Linked DNA regions of Caenorhabditis elegans. The protein of the gene in region 1 purifies or fractionates together with the protein of each later gene. This does not show direct contact. Each region holds a gene or a part of one and is shown in the gene's direction. Other genes may lie near its edges.

Region 1 (10,869 bases):
TTGAAGCAAATAAATAATTTCTGGAGTGACGAGAAGCTCTTCCAGGTTAGTTGCAATTCTTGAATGTTGTATTGAAATTCCTATATAAACCCACCTAGTTTATAGGAATCCCGTCGAATCAACATTGCACAACTTCAACACATTATTTACAAAGAATGGTTGCCAGTGGTTCTTGGTTGCCAGAATATGGAAAAATGGGGTCTAATGCCACAAACAGCTGGATATTTTGAGGGTTACGATGATCAATGTGATGCCACAATATCCCAAGAAATGTCAACATCTGCATTTCGATTTGGACATTCTTTGATCCGTGGTGTATTCACACGAATGAATGACAATTTCCAAAACATGACAAATCATGTAAATTTAACTGAAACTTTTTCGAATCCATCTCCAGTTTACGATAAGAACTCCGGTCATATGGAGTCAATCTTAATGGGATTAATTGGAGCAAACAGTATGGCTTTTGATCGTCATATTGTCACGGCTGTTCGGAATCATTTGTTCGCAAAACCTGGTGGTCCACTAACTGGACTGGATCTTCCAGCAGTGAATATTCAAAGAGGCAGAGATCACGGAGTTCAAGGTTACAATGCATATAGGTTTGTATTTCAATTTAAATTTTATAAAACCGGCAGTAGATGAAAATGCCTACATTTGTGGCGCGAAATGTCTCCAAGCATATCTTTACGTTTTGCGTCAACCGTTTCTGTCATCACAATTTAGCAATTTCCCTAGTTGTTCACTTGGGTTTCTTAGGCGAAATATTTAACACATAATTACGAGATTAAGTGGTTAACCTCGATGGGTATCGGCTGAGCATATTGTTCGCATGTAAACATTTCAAATTTATATTTTAAGAAGTATTTCAGAAAACACTGTGGACTTCGAAAAGCATCGGCTTTCTCTGATCTTCGTGATGTCATGAACTCAGAAGCTGTGACAGCTTTAGAAACAGCTTATGCTCATGTTGACGACATTGACCTGTTCCCGGGAATCATGAGTGAATCTCCAACTAGAGGTGACCCGGAATTTCTACTTGTTGCTTTTTTAAAATAATTATTAAGGCTCACTTGTTGGCCCAACATTAGCATGTCTTATTGGTGAACAAATGCAAAGATTGAAAAAATGCGACAGATTTTATTATGAGACAAGTGATTCAATGGTTCGATTTACTCCAGATCAACTTGTCGAAATTCGAAAAGCCAGTTTGTCAAGAATTATTTGCGATAATAGTGAATATGCCGCAAATATTCAACCCAATGTGTTCCTTATGCCAGACGATCTTACGTAAGTTGGAGATTTATTGAACAGGTCTATAAATGATCATTTTCAGTTTAATAAACATTTTTAAAAAATTTAAAAAAACAGTTTTCTTATTAATAATTAGTTCAAAAACTTAAATATAATTTTCAGAAACTCTCCGATGACATGCTCTGAACTTTCTGAGATTGACCTGAACAAATGGGTTGAACGAGACTATTGCCTTGTTGATGAACGTGTAGTTAATCGTGGAAAAACTAAACGAATAACTCCATGTATCACCTGTACATGTACATTAGAAGGTCCTGAATGTCATTCAATCACAATTGATGATTGTTCTCGTCTTCTTCGTGATTACTCAATCACTGATATTCAAAAGGATCCAGTTTGCCTCATTCAATGCTCTCAGCAACTCAAAAAGCTTTGAAATAATTTATTTATTTTTTATCAAACTCTAATTTTGATATTCTGACCTCTTACAGTATTCGTTCAAACCTTCTGGTATTCCATTTCATGTACATAAATAATATGATTTTCCATACCTCTATTATCAGGCACAAACAATGTTCATTTACATAACCCGATTGAACACAACTGTTGACACACAAAATACCTCTTATCAGTTATCATTCCGTCGATGTCTTGTTCGGTTATGTCTTTGCCAACTAAATTTCCAAAAAATTTCCAATTGGCTACGGCTACCGCGGCGTATCAAATTGAAGGTGCAAAAAATCTAGATGGTAAGTTTATTTTGAATTAAAAATTATTCTTTTAGAAATTTACTTCTGAAATCATTAAGGCCGCGGATTCAGTACTTGGGATTCAATTCGTTCTGAAAATGGTAGAATTCATGATAACTCGGACCCTGATCTTTCCTGTGAAGGTCGTCTAAAATACAAAGAAGACGTTGCTCTTCTCTCAAAAATCGGTGTCACCAGCTACCGATTTTCAATTTCTTGGTCCAGAATTCTTCCAGATGGAACTTTAAAAACAATAAATGAAGATGGCATTCAATTCTATCGTGATATTTGTCTTCTACTACGTGACAATGGAATTGAGCCAATTGTATGTAATAATTTCTTTGAAACATAAAAAAGCGAAAACATGTTATTTAGGTGACACTGTTCCATTTCGACATGCCTCTTTCAATTTATGACAATGGAACATCATGGCTAAACAAGGAGAATTGTGAACATTTCGAGAAATTCGCAGATTTATGTTTCCAAAAGTTTGGAGATCTTGTGAAGACATGGATAACTTTCAACGAAATAAACATGCAGGCTTGGTCATCAGTTGTAAAGATTGAAGGAGAACTTTGGTTATGCCCAGATCGTCCAGAAATCGAGAATCATGAACAAGCACCTTACATGTCAGTTTCTGAAGAAAAAAACCTTTGAAAGCGAAGGAAAAAACAAATGTTTTGGAATAAGCTGATTGAATATTTTATTTTCAGTGCAGCCACCAACATGCTTCTTACTCACGCAAAAATTTATCGAAACTACCAGAAAAACTACAAAGAAACTCAAAATGGCTTGATCGGAATAACAAATGGTGGAAGATTCTGTCTACCTGCTTCAGATTCTCCTGCAGATCTTGATGTTAGTCAAACTATTGACTTCCTTACTTTAATGATTTGCAGGCATGTAATCGAGCGCTGGATTGGCTCTTCAATTATACAATTGAACCAATTTTGACTGATTCCGGAGACTTCCCAGCCTCAATGAGAGAAAAATTACCGTTTCTACCAAAGTTCTCTGAAGAAGAAAAGAAACTCATCAAAGGTTAGCTGTCGATCGGAAATTTTTGATTTTAAAAAGATTAGTTAACTTTTTTTTTCTAAGTTAGCCTTGCACCATATTGGCAGCTCTAAATTCATTTTGCTGATATATTTTACCAATTATAATTTTCAATTTTTTTCAATTATAATTTTTTCAGGAAGCACTGATTTCCTGGGAATAAACTATTATCTCAGCCACATTGTTCGTAATTTAAATGATGGGGAGGAGCCAGCATCTCAATCAGAAAGAGACGCAGCTTATGCGTTTAATGAAGGAAAATGGGAAAAGTTGGTTTTTTCAAGTTCTCCTATAACCAAGAAATTTGCAGAATTTGTGGTGAGACATGGGTTCGTTATGCACCAGACGGTTTGTTCGGGCTTTTGAAATATGTTAGAGACAAGTACAATAATATTCCTGTATTCATCACTGAAAATGGATGTATGGATTTGGTAGGAGGTGAAGGAAGAAAAGAAGAGGAGATACTTGATGATAAGCATCGCATAAAATTTATTTCCGGACATTTGGAAGCGGTAGCTAAAGGTAAATTAAATTTGAAAAAAGTTTCGAAAAATAAAAAAACAATGATATTCAATTAATTTTTGGGAAACTTCGATCACTTGAATTTCAGCACTGGAAGAAGGATGTAATGTCATTGGCTACACACTCTGGACTCTGATGGATAATTTCGAATGGGATGACGGATTCGGTGTTAAATTTGGAATTTGTCGCGTCGATTTTGATTCTCCAGACAAAACAAGAACCATGAAATATTCGGCTAAATATTATCAAACTTTTATTCGCGAATTTAAAAAGCATCATAATCTTTTGTAGAATGGATACAAATGTATTGATAATAAATAGATTGCATGCTAGTAAAAACATTTAAAGCATTTGTGATGGTTGAAACAATAGAAAACACGTGGAAATGGAAAACCGTAATTGAAAAAAGGAACATGGAAAACGTTTAGTTGTAGGAAACAGTTGATTAAAAAAAAACTTTCTCTATTGTTGATTAATACACTACATAATTTTTTAATTCAATCCGTAATAATGTTTTCATGTTTTCGAATACCTAAGATTCTGAAAATGTTTGAACTCCTAACGTTCTAGATATAAAAATATTCATATTCAATGATTTTAAAAAGTTTAACAATCAGAAGTAGATCTTTCCACCTGTTTTCCATCTAGTTCAATAAGTAAACTAGATGCTCCACCTAAATTTGTTGGTTCAGTTCCAAAATTAGACATTGAAATTGTTGCAGTTGATTTGAAGCCACGAGAGTGACGACGGAGTATTGTGCTTCGGACTCTTTCGTATCTGAAAATATACCGATTATTTGAAAATAAATTTAGTCTTAAAAATAAACGTTAGAAACGCATTTTACAGGAAAATGCATTTACAAGAGATAAATAATACATTTGAATAAAACTAATAAATACAAAAGAAGTAAACTAAAAGTGTCAAAAGCTTTTGCTCACCTTGTCTTACATGGCATCAGTAATATACTTTTGAAAGCTCTTCTGTACTTGTGACTGTATGCAATATAAATTATTGGATTTAAAGAACTCGATAGTAATGACATCCATTGGAATATTGGCCGAATCAACTGAAATTCTTGCTTTTTTAATAAGATAAATATGTAAACAGCTACCATTGAAGTAATTTGAAAAAGATCCGATCGCTGATCAGCAAAGAAGAAAAAATATGTGAAGATGCAATAGAGAGGTAACCAGCAACAAGCAAATACAATTATTACTGTTAACATCATTGTGGCAACTCGTAGTTTTACTCGATCTTCTCGGGCCTAAAAATATTAATATCAATTTACACATAGAAATTTAATGGAATCATTCTAATATCTAGTTTTTGCTAAAAATTTAAAAGAGCCTCGTAAAATAATTTCTTGGCTATCGATTTTTTTGATTTGTTTAAAAATATATAAAACTTACTCTTGCATCAACTGCCAGACTTCTATGTGTTGATACAGTGATAAATATTCTCGTGTATAGACCCGAAATCAAACCAAATGGAACTATGAAAGCCAGCAATAAGTTAACAAATAAAAAATATAATTTTTGATCCGTTTGTGACGTACATAATCGGTAACCATAACTGCCTTCTTGCCATACTATCTGAAATGCATTTTTTGAAAAAAAAACAACGATTTTAAATTTATACCAAATCATAGTTATACCAATTAGGTATTCCGAATATTGCAGCTACTAGCCAAACAGCAAATATAACATATTTTGTATATTCTCGATCCCAGCTAGTGTTGTATTTCAACGTATGGCAAATAGCTAGATAACGATCAGCCGTCACTGCAACCAAGGTGTAAACTGATGCAAATGACGTAGATGCGTTAGCCCATGTGGACAATCGGCAGAAAAATTGACCCCAAAGCCATTCTGAAAATATAAAGCTGTTTTCATTAAAAACGGAAATTTTGCCAAAATATCCCTATAATAGTCTTTTGAGAACCACTTTCAAAAAATGTCAAAATTCTCTGTCAAATTGCCAAAAATTTTAAAAATATTTGATTTTTTGAGAAATTTTGAGCACTGCTGCAGAATTCATACAAAGGATACGATTTTTGCTCAATTTCAAAATTTTTGATTCACACCGAAAACTGAGTAAAAAGTTATTCTGGAAAAATAATTTAAAAAATAACCTTACCTGTGAAAATGCTATTAATCAACGTAGTTGGCAGACAAATCCATAAAATAAACAGATCAGCAAGTGCAAGAGACAAAATTAGATAATCCGTGGTTATATTTAAATTCTTATGAGCCCAAACCGCTAAGACAACAAACGTGTTTCCAAGTACACCAGTGAAGAATACAGCTCCATATGCAACTGTATAAAGAACAGTTAGTTGATATGAATGTCTAAGTAGAGGGACTGGTTCAAGTTGTTCAACATCTGCATATAATGGCTCTACAAATGACGTATTCATTGTTTCCATTTGAACAGTTGCAAAAGTTCAAAAATTTGACATTGGCAGTTTTGGAGATTTTCTGAAATAAATGTATCTTTAAATAACCTGCGGAAGTTGAGTAGAGCATCAAAATCAGAATATAACAACTAATAAAATACAAAATACAAATTACTAGAAAAAGAGAGAAAAAAGAGAAAAATGATGATGGATAAGAAAAAGAAGAAGCCGTCTGAAGATAACCCAATGAAATGACGAAATGCATTAGTAGCGTCCCCCAAGAGAAAAAAGTTTCCCAATGAATTAAGGACGAAAATGAAATAGTTTTGACAATGAACTCAGTATCTATCATGTTAAGATATGATATTGCTACCTACAGTTGTGTCTATAATATCCGTTTTCGGGCTTTGCTTATTTGTAGAAAACCCTTGTTCTAACAAACGTTACAAGTGAATATAGCAAGAACGAGATCGCTGAATTCCGGCCGTTGTATCATCTGTCCAGAATGTTGTGAAATGATCAACATTGTTTTAACATGCAGACAACATTATAAACATCAACTTTACAGTTAAACTTTTTAAAGGTTCCACGTTTTTAGTTATACTCAGTCTAAAAAGTTAAAAAACGATTATGTGATAAACGAAGCATGTAGATACTCTTGGACACCATTCTAGCTTTACCCATTTTAAATGTCATTTGATGAATTCCTAAATGTTTCTGTTTCATTTATTGAATAAATAGGGAGGAAGATACTAAAAAACAGTTTTAGTGGGATTTGACCAATCCGTTTCGGATGACACAAACTGAGTTATAATATTGTAGTGTAGAAAAGTGAAAATGTGCTTTGTCATTAATTGATGCTCGTCTTGATTTCTTGTAAATTCTTTTGGCGGCAAGCTCATAGAGCCTAGGATCACATGAAAAGGTGGAGAAGAAAATAGAAAAAGTGTGAAGAAACCGCCCTCTATCATCATCATTGCCGGCACTTCCTTTGCCCCCTGCACCCAAAACTATATTGAGCCAATTACTACTGACTAATAGTTTGAGGACTCTGAGATTCTTGGAAAATCTGAGAAAATATAAAAATAAGAGAAAAGAGCAAAGATACATAAAAAAACATGTGTTGAAACAGAGAGATACGAAAACAGAGAAACTTGTCAAGCGGTCATGATGGGATATAAAAAGAGATGAAGTCACTGGGTAAATAGATTACGGACACTGGAAAACGGACAGAAATGGAATAAAAGTGTTCGTTTGACGGAAATATTTGGGTTCGAGTTGTAAATGTGATTTATATATTGAATTTGGAAGTTTGACAGGGATAATGTTCTTCTCGACCACAATGTAATAGTTTTTAAAAGTGCACTATTGTCTTAAAACACTCCAAAACTTTCTTAGATTTTTCAAAATCTTTAGTCAAAGTCAGCTTGCAAAATTTTCCAACTTTTCAACTTTTCAACAAATCAACTTTTCGAGCATCGCTGTAGGTACTAGACCAGGGGGTGTGCATCAAATCTCTAAATTTGCCGAGCTCGGTGGACAGCAATTTTGGAAAATTTGCCGCACGCCCTTGTGCTAGAGGACTCTGAAAAATTTCCCACGAACTCATCAAATATTCACTAAAAAGACTCCAACAAAAATCCTGACACAATTCTCTTGAATTCGAGACTTTCAGGTAACAACATTATTACGTGAAACTAGAATTTCGGCTCCTTGACTTTTCTAATGTTTTTGAAAAACAACGAAACTTTGTAACAGATTCGAGAAAAATGTCTTGTATTTGAACATTTTGTGAGCCTTTTCGAGCAACATTAAAGTTGAGGGTAAGAATTTTCATATCTCAAAATTTCAAAAAGTACAGAATTATCTCGGAATTATCAATTGGAATAATGTGCATGAATGTTTGATCAGTATCAAGGAATTTTTCAGGCAAATAATGTGTTCATGAAATTTCAGCATGAATAATCAAAATGAGATATTGAAAATATTACTGAAATACTATTTCGCTTAGTTTAGTCCGAAGAAATTTATAGATGATTTCCTAGCAAAATCACAGTTGTTCAAACTTTTCTATCGGGAAGTTTTACAGAAATTTCAGTTTAAACACACTCCAGCTTCATTCATGGTGGAAACAGAAATTAATTGGAAAACAAATAAATTTCACGTTTCAATCTTGTTTTGAAAAAAAACAATTTTTCTCAACTTTCACAATTCGCATACTCTGAAGAATTTTAGAAAATAACACTTATCAGTATAATACAAATATCTCTTTGTCGATAATCCACATTAAATTAATCTTTAAATATCAAAAATGTTTTTGACTGAATCTGCTTTCGAACTATGACATTCGGAAGAAAAAACACAAAATTTCTGACAATAGGTGTCATATTTATTTTTAATTTTGATTTTGACACTTCTTGTTATTTAAACCCATAATGAACTGAATTAGATAAAACTGTCGATCAAAGATAGAAATAGGTGAACGGTAGAACATTTTCAACATCTTCAGAGAAAGATTGCCAAATAAAAAATACCGTAATTTCTCTTGAAAGAAAAACTCGTTTTAAAATTTTTTAACTACATACATTGTCGCTATTAAGTTACTTTCACTCCAAAAAAAGTAAAAATTTCAGAAACTCCAAGAAAATGAAATTTTGTGAGAAAACTTTTTTTAAAAAAAATTTCCGTTTCAAACTAAAATGAAACCAAAATGAGAAGGAGGAGACGGAGTTTTTCGTCAATTCATTTCAACCTCTCCCACTTTTTCCAAACATTTTCTTTGTCTTTCGACCCTTATTTCCATATTTTCCAGTGGCTCCCACACACGTCAAAAAGAGAAGTTAATAGCCGAGACCGACGGAAAACACAAATCTCTGAGAGAATGAATGAAAACGTTGGAATTCGGAGAATTTGTGTTTCTGGAAACTTCAAAAGTATGATTTGAATAGTTTCAACTTGACTTTCACACATTTTTTATTCAAATTGAATTTGAAATGTCTATCTAAAAATCATATAACTTCCATATCAATTTTGATAGCTCAGCTAGTTTCTAGAGAAATTGGGGAAAATGTTTAAAAGTTTTAAAATTTTAGACCCATCATGACCCCTTGGCATAAAAATAGTCCACACAGTTTTGGCATATTTTGACAAAAAATTGAAGTGTTAAAAGATTGAATAACAATGTTTCTATATTTCTTCGAATTCACTTATACATATAAAAGCAAGATTTTTCTTCCGAGACAGCTTGAACTTCTTAGAACTTGTTTTTTTTTCAGTTTTTGAGAAAACTAGTAAAAGAAGAATCAAATAGAGAGATTCCCCAATGGGACACTTGAAATAAACCATAGTTTACTCTTGACATGTATACACCTTTTTGATTTATTGCTGTCATTTGTTGGCAATGTTCCAAATATAGGAAAATATGAGAAAAAGATGGAAAGAATTGGCCATAGAAATGAGGACTACAAAAGACTGATTGCTCTTGACTTGTTCTTTTAAACAAAAAAAGAAAGAAACAGTGTAAACTAGACATCAAAAATCAGAAAATAAATGAGAAGTCCCTAAATTTTAAAATATGAAATACTCGTCTTAACACAAGGATTAACATTTCAAAAATTTATACTGTGCGCGCTTCAAAGTTTTGAAACATTTTTCATCATTTTTTTCGAAGTTTTGAAGTTTTCTCAAACAAATCCCAAGTATGATCCTTTTGAAGAAGTTTCGAATAATGGAATCTAATAGCCTCGCTTCAAAAAATGCACGTTTAAAAGAAATGTGCAAAAGCTCACTTGAACCTTCATTTTTGCGCAACCTTTTCTTGCAAAGCCGGGTTTTTCCCTTTCTATGAGAAACTTTTAACAAGAGTGAAAGTTTGAAATGAAAGGAAAGTTCAGAAAACATAAAATCAAAATTTTTTTTTCCAGAAAAAAAGAACATGAATTTTCAAGAAGTTCTCAATGGATTATACTGGATCATTTTAAAATCATCAAAATTTTGCATTAATTCACTTTTGGAGCAACTTTATTGCAAAAATGAACTGAGCAAGTTTCAGATCGACTTTTTTAAAGTTCAATTTGCTTATCTGCTGCTAAACCTTTTGTAGTGACTTATTTTTAAAATACACTTTTGAATGGCATTCGTTCAAATTTTTGAAAATTGCAGTATCACGGTAAGTTTACATAGACCTCACAGTTAATTAAGAAAAAGAGAGCGAAGAAATCGAAACAAATTTTGAAAACGTTTTTTCCAGTTTTGTATGATTTGATCTTTCTGATCATTAAATATACACAACAAGTCGGCATTTCCTTATTTATACAACCTGAGAAAATTAATGTGTCTCGAAATCGGAAATAAGCAACTTCCTCGGATTTTGTTGTTTTCTAGAATTTTCTAGGCTTCTTTATTTCTACGATGTTATTTCAAAATAATTTTGATTGGACAAATACTTATTCTAATGAACAATCACCGGTGTTTTAGAAACACATCACCCTAGAAATGGACTTTGTTAACTGAAATTCGGATCTCTAATAAATAGAAATTGATTACTAAGTTGTTTATATTACTTAAATCTATCACTATCACAAATGTCTACTTTCTTCCTGTCAATAACATGAGAAATACGAGGCGTCAAACCGAAAACGTGTGCGTTTGAGAGTAGCCGTCGACAGAAATTTTGGGGCCAGTATATATGGCAACAACAAAATCTAGTTAGGGAAAAGCTTCTACGTCTTTGCCCATCTTCTCTGGAAGAAAGCGTAAAAATTTGCCAACAATAACCGAAGCTAACAAATAAATGCACACCGAAGAATAAGTTGTTGGAAACTTGGGGAAAAAAAGAGAGGCATATAAAGAAATGTTAGAAAGTATTCTGAAAATAGAGAAGGTTGGACAAG
Region 2 (11,851 bases), on another chromosome or scaffold:
AAGAACAATGTTTGAAATAACTTGTACATTGCTAAAATGTCTAGAAAAATTTAGGTAAAGCTTTAAAAAATATTTTTGAAGTTTTTAACATTCGAAAACAAATACTCAATTTTTGCCGATCATGGTATGCCGACCAAATAAAAATTCTCTACAAATTTGAAATGTTTCAGATAATTGCACGCAGAGTTTGGCAGTCAAATATGCACTATTCTTTCTTGAAAATTAACAATAAATTTATTACTTCTAGATAAAGTTTAAAAAAACTGGTTTCCTTTTCAGCATATTTCATAAATTTATAGTTTCATTTTCCGTACATTTTTTAAACTTAAAAAATTATAGTATTAATTCTTGATCATTTCCTAAAAATTTAAAAAATCATAATACAATCTGAGTTTTTTGATGACACACTCGGTCCCAAATGCAACTTTACTCTCTCAGCCTCTTGGCTATACACCCACGTAGTATACATTCCAAATTCTCAGAATTTCCCTCTGCTAAACACTTTTTATGAATTCATCCACCCATATACGTATTCACTTGACTCCTTCTCAGATCTCTTCCGTCCAGTCGCAATTTTATTAGAAATCATATGGGGCGGTTGCTCTTGGTTGCTTCGGGCTTCCTGCTCCGTGTGTGCAGGATGAAGAAGCCACGGGGCAAAATGGGAAAAGCCGACCCCACCGGAGCCGAGATGAAGGAAAAAGGGAGGGGCAGGAGACGGGGGCAGATCGTGTGAGAGCAAGAGCAACATTTCTTGTCGATATCTCCATCTCTTGCCTCCCTCCCTCATTGAAGCTCTTTTCCTTTCTACCTCACACGGCACCCGCCTCCTTTGGCTTCACATTGAATTTGTTCAGTGAATAAAAAAGTAGTAAATTGTAAACCTAACAAGTTTCTTTTTTTCTTTCGTTTTTTCTTAATACTCCGAGCCTTCTTTTTTCGTACTTGTGTGTTGCTTATAAAGCTACCGTAATCTCAACTTTCAATTTTTCCATTAGAACTATACATTAGATGATTGCAGTTCTATTTTTTTGAAGTTTATTTTGCAAAATTGTCAGTGCAATAAAAAAAGGAATTTTCAATAAATGCTGGGATTTTTTCACGAAGGAAACTTTTTATTTAACTTAACAAAATTTTTTGTTCTAACAAAAAGTTACACCAAAAATGATCTACTTTCCATACTTAAATTTTTCAGAGTACTCTAGACTAGACTTAAACTAGGTATGTAAAATTTATTAAAAGATTTAAATGTCTATTTTTGATATTTTTGGTGTGCTCAGATGTAGATGTAGATTCTGAAAGCATTTTAAGTATTTCAATGTTTTGAAAAAAAAAAAATTTCGCTCATTTTTTTCATTCAAAAAAATGTTTTCTTCGATAAAAATATATAATTATTTTGAAAAAGTTTTAACAGATTTCTAAACATCATCAAATAGTAACAAAACATATAATAAGTAGCTTTAGGAGTAATTCTAGAGGCCCCGGAAAAATTTCGTATCGACATTCAGAAAGTGGAAAGTCTTCCGCTTAAAATTGTAAAGTTAGTCAGTTTTTCCCCTTCTTTAATACTTGTACTTATCAGTGCAGTTAGAAATAAGATATTCGTTTTTGTCAGTGCACTTTTAGTATTGGTCAGTGTATTTACCGTTTTGGTCAGTGCAAGCACTACTTTGGTCAGTGCCTACATGCGGTCCAAGCAAAATCCTATTTTTTCCAATAAACTTATTTCTTTCATTTTCAAAAATGTACTCAACATATTTTATATCTAGATCCCCGTTTTCACTTTCAATCCATTAAAACTTGAGAGTTCTTTGTTCATGATTAAGTCAGCTGAGCTCTTCGTCTCATTTTTCCTCCCCCATGTTTAATTTGAGAAAAACAATTTTCAATTTGCGAAACTAAAACCTAGTTTCTCCGAATAAAATTCTTCAATTGTTTCCCTCCGCTTAGTGTTCAGACATTCAACGCGCTCTGCTCTATCTACACAAACCCCCTCCTTCTGTTAATTTCCCGAAATTTCGTCTAAATTTCTCGCAAAAAAAAACGAAGGCAATGAGAGAGATAGTGTAGTGCTCCTAAGCTCTGGTGAGCAAGAGCACAAGAAAAATCGATGTCGCCCAGATTTCCGGCAGTGTCTTTGACGTTTTTGGAGAAGAAGGAAGCTTAGTGAAAGAAAACATCTAAACATGACAAACGTTTTTTTTCTGTTCGTTTTTTGTCTTCCCGCTTCCGATTTCATCTCATTCTGCTGCTTTCGCACAAAATCATTTTTTCTTGGTTTCTGAAAAGTTTTCACAACAAGTTTTAGTATTGGTTTGTTATACGGAAAAACATTTGTCTTCCTTATCAGTTGCTGGTAAAATTGGAAATCATTTCGATTTTTTTCAATTATATCTAACGGTTAGCTATACCTCTGTGTGAGGTTTTCAACGGCAAATACTTTGATTAAAACAAAAGTCAAGCATTTCAAACAAAAGTCAAGCATTTTGACCACGAGAAAAGGTTTACAACTTATGTAACTTTGAAATTTTGTCTGAAATTCTGATCAACTGATTTTACAAATCTCAAAAACGCTGGTTAACAGCAGCAAAAATGGAATACTTTCTGAGAACCTAACTAACTAAAGATTTTTTGGTATGTGTGTTGTATACCTAGCTCTTCCAGAAATATTTTCCAATTAGAAACGTGGAATTCATTCGCATTTTTAGCCTTAGAAAAACACTTCTCCTAAGCCTAACTTTGATAAAAAGAGCCTTTATCATTTCAACTAGAAAATAATAGTATTTTGTCAAATCGAGCTAGATTTTTTATTGAATTTAGAATCACCATAGCAATAGCGTTCATAAGTTTTATCACTAATCCTATAACATTTTAGATAACAAATGTTTTTCAATCAATCAATGAGGAGAATTATATGTAAAAACTTAAGATCTACCACGACTAGTAAAAATAAGATTTCAACTTTGATATGCCAAATTTAAATAGCTAATCATATTTTTGTGATACGAAATCATAAAATGACTATTAGTATAAAATTGTGCTAAAAGTTTTGCTTCAGAGTTAAAAAATAAACCCTTGGTCCAACGCCGTGCCACTTCAGCCATTTTTATGAAACGGTCTAAAAATTAAAAATAGCCGGTTGAAAATTATTTTTTTTTTTTCAATTGTCAATGGCAAAGTTTCCTAATATTTTATAATGTGAGTACCATGTTTAGAAATTTGAAAAGAAGCAAGCATCATTTTTCCCATAACATTTTGAAGTTTGATGTCAACAATAACTCTGCCAAATATGAATTAGTATGAATTGGCGTCTGCCCATTACCGAACAGCTCTGTGTTTTTAACCAAATTTAAACAACGTTTTACATGCGAAAGTTTCTTTACACTGTGTTTTATATTTTTCACGTCAAATACTATTATTTTAAATTTTTTCAATACACACCACTATGCTTTGTCACTAAATTATTTATATCTGAACAACCATAAACTAATATGTCAATCAGCGCAAACTAAAAATTTCTTTATAATCTTTTCGTAATCCAATCATCTCCAGACTAGATTTGTATCACCAAGCCAACTAAAAATTATTTTAGTTTTCTGAAAAAAACCTCATGTTATATAACTTTACAAGGCATACTATTAGAATTCCGTATATTTAAAAATTACGAATTTGTTGGTTTTCTTTCAGTTTCCTACAGTGTATCACAACAATTTATTGCTGGTTCAGACATTCTTTTTGATAGTTTTTGTGAAAAGAAAAATCAACAGGGTTAAAAAATGAATCAAATAAACTGTGATCTACGAACAAGTTGCACAACTTCCCACAGATACTCTCAAAAATAAATTCTGAACTCGCGGTAAAACAATATTGCATAAAAGTTCCAACTTTCAAGCTCATAGATCTTACCGCTTTTAAAAAAACGTGTTTAAGCTTAGCAGTTTTCTAAAATCTAGTCCTATACTATACATTTTTCAGGCAATGGATCAGCGGAATAAGTGCTTCGTTCCCCACGATCTTCGCCCAATTTTGGAAGCGTTGGCGCGTGAAGTACTCCGAAGTCAACCATCGGATGTGGCCGAGTTTGGCCACATGTTTTTCGATGAGTACTTGAAACATCGCAGAGGTGAACTTTTGGTCATATATTTTGGTGGGAAAAGTAGGCTGGGGAAAAGAATCCGTTGAATTATTTACGAGATTCTAGTTATTTTTCCATTGATATCCAGATTTGCAATAAGGCACGCACACGCATGAATGAGATGTGAAATTGTTTCCCTGGACTTTCATATTTTGAGCTTGAGCATCATTGTGCCGCAATTTTCCTTCAAGTTTTGTGTAGGATTTTGCTAATTATAAAATGCATGCAAGTAAAATAAAGTTTCTTTCGAAGAAAATCAGAAAGTACATATGAAGTATTTCCCCTGTTTTACTAAACAAATACCGACTTATTCATATTAAAACTGCACTTTTAAAAAAAAGTTTTGGATTAAAAATAGAACATCAATTATTAGTAATATGCACACTAGAACATTTTCCCAAGTATTGTTTTTGACAAGAATTTTCATAGTGTGTCTATTTTTCCTTCAAAGAATTGCAAGTTTAATGCACCAATTGAAAAAAGGTAGACTCAGTGCAGTTCAAAGAGAGCAAAATTTATCAGGCGTATAAACATTTAATTTCGAACAAAAAAATTTACTGTTAAGTGAAAATTTCAACTTGAATTCAATTTGAATCAAAGATAATTCCCACATTTTTTTTTCAGAAAACAGGAACATTCTAAAGGATCCAGCGGCTTACGAAGTTTTCCGTGCTGATCTCCAGAAGAAGGTAAGATATAAAAATTTATAATTTCCACAAAAAAAACAAAAACTAATACTATAATTCGTGTGGCTTTATCGAAGTTTATTCCTTTCAGATTTGTTTTTTCACTGACTCAGTCAACTATTTTATTTGAATTTTTCAAAATAGGAAAATAAAACACGTAAAAAACATAAATTGCCTTTGTTACAACAAAGTATACTCTAACGTGACTTTCTCCTTAATCTCGTAGCTCTGGCGTGTTAGTTTGGTCAAATTGGATGTTTATGTCAAATGACACTTTTTCTGACTTTGAGAGTAGATACACGATACATTTTTGAGCACGACGTTTATTTGAGGATTTTCCCGCTGTTTCATATTTAATCGTTTTTTTTTTGGAAATTTTTTCAACCTTATAAGTGGTGTCATAATTCGACATCTAAATTCATTTTAAAAATAATTTCAACTTTTGGGAAGAACAGAGTTTAAAAAAATATTTCTCGTTTTTTCATGAAACGGAAACTAGATATAAGATACCAAAATCCGCATCTGGTAAAAACAGTTTTCTTCTCACACTAACTAGTGAAGGAACATACATTTCGGTAAACTTTTAGAAAAATTTTTTTAATTCAACATAAAATGATACACTGGACTCTGTCTAAAGCGATAAGTGGGAACTCTAAAACTTTTATTACTTACCTACTCCTTACATTTCAAAAATACGCAAATACTTGTTTGCTTTTTGAAACTCTAAAACTAAAAAAAAACTTTGATGCTAGGAAAGTCAGAATATGGAAACTTTTGCGTACATTTGAGAATAGCGAATAAAAAATTAGAAAGCGTTGCCAAACATAGATTTATTCGTGAACTTTGGTTCCAAAGAGTCGAAAAATGTCATATAGAGACTCAATCATTTTTTTCTGACTTTGAAAGTAGGTACATTTTTGAGATGAATTTTCAGTTTTAGTGTTTTCATATAAGAGAGTAATTTTTATATTTCTGAGTGATACATGATCTGATAGTGAGATCAAAAACTAAAATTTTCTCAGAAACATTAAATTTCCCGAGAATTTTTAAAATTTGTTTAAAGACGTTGTGCGCTGACTCAAAAATTACATTAATAAGATTTTTTAGACCATGCTCCCCCCTTTGCAGTTTCCGGCAAACCTAACAGGAATTTATTTTTGTGTTTCATTTTGACGTTTACAACTAAATAGCTAAAGAAACACCGAAAAAAGCTTTTCAATATTGTGGGAAAATCAATTGAAATATTTGGAAAATTTTAAAAAATCGTTAATAATTAAGAAATATTTTTTAATTTAAAATTGTGACATAATCGCTATACTGAGACTTTATTTTGTCATTCAAATCAAAATCCCACAGACGCTATTCCACATTTAAGTGTTTTAAAATTTGAAATGAAACAAATTTGTTGGATGATTTGCACGCTACCACCAAGAATATTATATTTTTAAGCCACATGACTCAGTGAATATCAAAACAAATTCAACGCGCCAAACTTTTCTCATTTCAGTTTGCTGAAGTTGAGCGACCAGCCAGTCCAATGGACACTGCCGCAACTAAAATTCAAGCCGCTTTCAAAGGACACTTGGTTTGTTTTAATCCTCTGCCTTGTAGTATGTAAGTATTACTGTGTAAAGTTCCAGGTCCGCGCTCACCCAGAAAAGTATGGAATGAGCACTAGAACTTCTTCTTCTGAGAAGCTTGATTCTGCCAACAACAAGAAAGATCAAAAGTGAGTACTACATAATAGAATAGAAATGTCTGAACTAAATGAATTTAGGCGTCATTCCGTGGGAGGTTACACCATTGATGTGGACACTCCGGAAGACAGAGCCGCGACCAAGATTCAATCTGAAATTCGCGGATTTCTTACTCGCAAGCACGTTGATAAGATGAAGAAGGAGGATACTGACGCGGCAACTAAGATTCAGGCACATATTAGGTTTGTTAAAAATATTTGTGTTGCTTCTTGAAATATCAGTAATAGTTACTTATACCCTTGCAAAAAATTTCTGAATGTGTTATAGAACGTCATAGGTTAAGTAGCACTGTTTTATGTTTTATTAGATTGAATGCAGAAGACAGTATTTTACAGGGAATTGTTTATTTTATTTAAACTAACTGCTGGAGACCTACTTGCTATAAAATTGAAGTTTGATAATTTTTGAGACATTTGAAGTAAATCAAACGGTACCTGAAAATGTTGCGAGTGATATATATGACAAACTTAGCAACTCCAAGTCTTTTTCAGAGGCTTCTTGACACGAAAACACTTGGACGAACAGGGCCTATCTCCATCCAGAAGTCACTCTTCCCTTCAATCCGACCATTCTGATCACAACTAAAAAAACCATATTCGAAATTTTTTCACAGCGCAGACTTTCCAACGAATTCATGCCCAGAGATTAATATTATTTCTGTCTTCAAATTTTCTAACTTTTATTTTTCTAACTTCCTATCGTATACACTCGTCGTCATTATCTCTTAATAAATAAACCAACAAACAATGTTCATTTCATGATTTCACTATCAAAGTCTTATCCGAACAAATGAATAAAAAAAAAGACAACTGTTAGTGAGTTCTAAATTTTGTCAAGAAATATTTTTGGTGAATGTTTTTTTTTTCAAAATTTTTAAATTTCGGTACTTGTGTAATATACGTGGGCAACCTTTTTTCTTCATATTAAGCTAAAATGGAAATCAGTTTTCCGTTTGGATTAATTCAGCATTTTCAGAAGAAATGAATGGAAACCGTATTGGAATATACTGTTGGGCCAGGTTAACTACAAAAAACAAAAATTGTTATAGTTCTTTGGCTGAAAAGTAATTTTTAAGTAAACCCTTCATTCAATAACCAAAAAATTCAAATTGAAAGCCAAATCGGAATCAAAAACTAAAAAAAAGACATTTCGGATCAACTGAATATCACATATAAAATCTACATAATTAGTAATCAATTGAATAAACTTGTGAAAAATGCTATGTAGAACCCTTTTCATCTGATTGTGCAATATTGTCCGTGAGAGCCAACGCCTGAAAAGGGAAGTAAAATCTTGTTGTTTCGATGATCCAACTTACTTGTTGCTTCAAAATATCTTTCAATTCTTCGTTGTCCACGAGGATTTCATCAAGTTGCTCGATCTTTTCACCATGCATGATTAAGGTCTCATTGAGTTGTTCTTGCAGCCTCTAAAAAATTGGATTGCTGTTTGAAATTGGGGAAAAAAATTGGGATTTTCGGAAGTTCTTATCACTTGTAATCCTTTTCCTTCACCGTTTTTTTGTAGTTCACAGTGATGATTGAAAACACGCTTATTTTATTGAAAACATTCAAATTATTCTTGAACAAAATCTCAGCCTAAGTTATTCGTACAGTGTCGGCCCTGGAGCAATGAATCGAAGTTTAAAGAGATTTCACTTTACACAGTAAGAGCTTCGAGCGAAGCCTCAAACCTGAATAGTCAAGTTTTCTAAACATATACCCCACTCCTGAAATAATTTCAAAGAGATCTCGAATAACCCGTTAACAGGTTCGAGGCGAAGCCGAGAACCTGCGCCAGCTACCTTGCTAATAACTTAAAGCGAATTAACCCTATCCCCATTCCCGAAGGGCTGGCGGGCCCATATATCCGCTAGTCAATTAATCATATTCAAATATTTTCAGTGTTCAAACCTGCATTAATGCTCGAAATCATTCAAAAATTACACATCTTTGAATAATTTTGTCATTTTATAAAAACTTTAATTTAAAACTTTGAAACATCTAAACAAAATTTAAATATCGTAATAGGATCTTTTCTCGTGCTGGACTATTCAGCGTGTATTTAGATTAGATGGCGGTATTAACCTCCGAAATAATAATTAATCTAATATGCAAAAACCGATATTTGCCCAAACGATTTATTTTTATCTCACCTCAATTTCCGCTTTATCACTTCGTCTCTGCGCCAAAAGAAGTCTCTTTTCCATCTCTAATTGTTCAATTATCTGCAGAAGGTCGGTCACATTCCCGTTCTTGCCATTTGGAGAAGATGCGATTTCCTTTTCTTCTCTCTCCCACCGATGGCTTTCCTAAAACATTGATTTACGAGTACGGTTGTGCAAAAAATTGTCCATTAGAGCAAAAACTCACATCAATGTATACTGATTTAGTTTGTGTAGATTCATCATGTTTGACGACTTGATTCGTTTGCTCCCGAGACTTGTTTTCACAGTTACAGGGTAATTGTATAATCTTCGGTGATGAGGATTTCCTCTTCGCTTGATTCTCCAAGCTTCTTTTAATTTCTGCTCCAAAAGTTTCGAAATCACTGATAAATGTTTCTTCTGTTTTTTGTAGCGCACCTTTCATTTGTGAGATCTAAGACAATAGCCTAATTTTCAAAATTTTTTCAAAAAAAATACCTGGTTTCTAAAATATTGAAGTACATCTTGAGTTCTGTGCCACGAATCTGTGCTATTTTGGTACTTTTCCTCTAATTCAATTTTCTCCTTTGTTAATTGGGAGCAAGTATGTTTGAGATTTGAGATTTCTTGATGAAAGTGATCCCGTTCTGAAAAATTTAGTCATTGAATCTATATTTTCTAAAAAAGTATTTCTTACCTTCACTAAGCATGTTCACAACTTTTTCATTCACGGAAAATCTATTTTCCTCCATTTCTCTCTCAAGATTTGCATGGCTGTGTTGTAAGAATTGATTTGCTTTTTTGTACTCCGTTAGTTCCTTCCGCAATCCATAAATTGCTTGGTTGAGAATTTCTTCAGGATTTGGTAATGTTACTTCTGGCACAGCAACTGGAGCTGGAGCCGGTGCTGGAGCAGGTGTCAGAGCTGCAGCGGGGCTCACAACACTCGATATTGAGATATCCTGTAATTTTTAATAATATATGTATTGAAAAATGATAATTAGTATTGTACTTGATTACTAAGTTTTGCTGTTTACTAGTATATTGTTTGTTGAAAAACGTTCTACAAATTTCAAAACGGATTGGGATCCGATCTGATAAAGTTTGATGTTTTTCTAATCCCTGACTTGCTCTGAGACTTCGCCCCGAAACAAAATCATTATTCAAATCACAATCTAAAATTCCATCACTCTAAATTTAAATCTAGTTTCTGCCGCTTCACATCTTGTCTAGGATTTCCCTGATACCTTGTTCAAGATCAGATCATTGTCTTGTCTTAGCGAAAGTGACTTTCTGTGTGTTATGTATACTATGATGTCATTTAATGTAGCTACTCACCGTATCAAACTCCATTGGTATTATTCGTAATCGATCCGGTGACGCTGTCCGTGAAGATGCTCTGAAGTTATGTTTTCTTTTAGTCAGTAGATCTACCAGTAATGTCAGTGCAACTGTTAGTTTGGTCAGTGCAACTGTCTAGTTGGTCAGTGCAACTGTCAACTTGGTCAGTGCAACTGTCAAGTTGGTCAGTGCATAATCCAAGTTGGGTTAGTGCACTCATAATTATAGTCAATACATCCACAAATTTATCATTATGGTCAGATTATTGTTATGTTTACATAATTCTTACCTTGTTAAATGTTCAATGTCCGATGAAATAATTGTTTGAATATCATCTCCAATATATCGATTATTATGAAATGCTAGAAAACGGGAACTAATTATTAATATTTATTCATTTAAATTTAAGAAAAACTTACGCGGTAAAACAGGTTCCAACATAACAATATCGTCAGCTAATGGCTCGGACCCTTGTGACGGAGATGAGCATTCCTGCTCAGCATGAACTTCATCTGGCACATCAACTTCAACCTCGGCTGCTTCTGGCCTGATATCCAACACCTGATCAATTCGTTTTTGTGCTTGAAGTATTGCTTCTTTCCAATTAACATTCATTGTGCCTGAAACTGACTAAAAAGGTAAAATAGAACAGACAAAAGCTGGTAAATAAGAAGCGTGTTGTGTAAAGTTCTGACGGAAGGAGAAAAGATGAATCAGATAAGCAGTGACGGAATTTAGTGGAATCCACGTTTTATTGGGTTGAACAGAGGAAATGGAAGAGACACATTGTGTCGTGGAGAAACCTAGGCCAGGAGGTATTGGGATAACAAAATTGTTGTGTTGAATAAATATTAAAATATAAATATAACAATACAATTTTAAGATTTCAAAATTCAAATGAAAACTTTCTGATTAGGTATATTGAAAATTTTAACAAATCAACAGTTAAATAAATTTCAAGAAAATAAATTGGCATTGGAGTTTCGATATAAAAATACAGTCGAAATATAACTTCCCTTATTTTTCAAAATCAAATGTACTTATAAAATGCAAAAATTCTATAAAATCTTCATTTTCATGTTGCCAAAAAATAAATCAATAGCACTACGCGTCAAGAGGAACTAGAGAGAGAGTGGAGGGGCAGAATGTTGAACAGCTGTCCTAAACATAACTAGCTGACTGAGGAGGAACAATAAATTATGAATATTTATTTTTGTAGAAAAACGATAATATTCAATTTATTCAACTTGACAAAGCGAATAAGAACATAATCAAAAATTTTCAGGTTAAAAAATGTCAGTTTTGTCAGTTTTGGGAAAATAGGGTATAATTGTGTTTTAAAGGCTATTGCTGATAGTGAGAAATTATTTTTTAAGACGTTTCAACTTCTAGAAATGTATACCGTATTTCCTCTGTTAGTCTTGCATGCAAGACTAAATTTCAATTGGTCCGTAGGGGTGCCAGACTAACAGAGGAAATACGGGATTTCTAGTATTTGGAGTGTTTCATGAGTTAGAATCAATAAAACCTTCATTTTTACAGCAATATTTTGAAGCTAGTATACATTTTTTAGCAGAATCCTGTTTTGTTTAGAAAACACATAAAAGAATAACAAGTTCATTCATTTACTAATATTGATGGAATTCATTCAAAATGGAAAAAGAGAGAATGCACAGAGAATTCATAATCGAATGCCAGAATTTAAAAGAATAATACATTTTTGAGAAATTATATAATTATTATATTATTAGTCTTGCGAAGCAATGCTTTGACAACTCAGATCTTA

The links.
Region 2: the proteins of klo-1 (region 1) and F39H12.3 fractionate together in Caenorhabditis elegans (co-fractionation; one large-scale study listed by BioGRID). This does not show direct contact.

What each region holds. Positions count from the first base shown.
Region 1 is NC_003282.8:7,739,035-7,749,903, reverse strand, and holds klo-1 (Glycoside hydrolase family 1 protein), read left to right. Parts: upstream 1-1,902; 5' UTR 1,903-1,915; coding exon 1,916-2,003; intron 2,004-2,062; coding exon 2,063-2,328; intron 2,329-2,378; coding exon 2,379-2,632; intron 2,633-2,716; coding exon 2,717-2,861; intron 2,862-2,902; coding exon 2,903-3,044; intron 3,045-3,198; coding exon 3,199-3,328; intron 3,329-3,369; coding exon 3,370-3,581; intron 3,582-3,669; coding exon 3,670-3,872; 3' UTR 3,873-3,925; downstream 3,926-10,869. Other genes in the region: C46A5.4 (Peroxidase), read left to right, coding at 1-45, 106-602, 873-1,021, 1,068-1,290, 1,417-1,690; npr-35 (G-protein coupled receptors family 1 profile domain-containing protein), read right to left, coding at 4,188-4,359, 4,521-4,648, 4,694-4,846, 4,992-5,174, 5,221-5,450, 5,719-6,007.
Region 2 is NC_003284.9:833,618-845,468, reverse strand, and holds F39H12.3 (RIIa domain-containing protein), read left to right. Parts: upstream 1-3,975; 5' UTR 3,976-3,978; coding exon 3,979-4,123; intron 4,124-4,759; coding exon 4,760-4,824; intron 4,825-6,328; coding exon 6,329-6,406; intron 6,407-6,461; coding exon 6,462-6,550; intron 6,551-6,598; coding exon 6,599-6,760; intron 6,761-7,069; coding exon 7,070-7,163; 3' UTR 7,164-7,325; downstream 7,326-11,851. Other genes in the region: F39H12.1 (Pericentrin), read right to left, coding at 7,798-7,851, 7,897-8,007, 8,734-8,889, 8,951-9,178, 9,223-9,371, 9,422-9,686, 10,063-10,123, 10,355-10,427 and 1 more.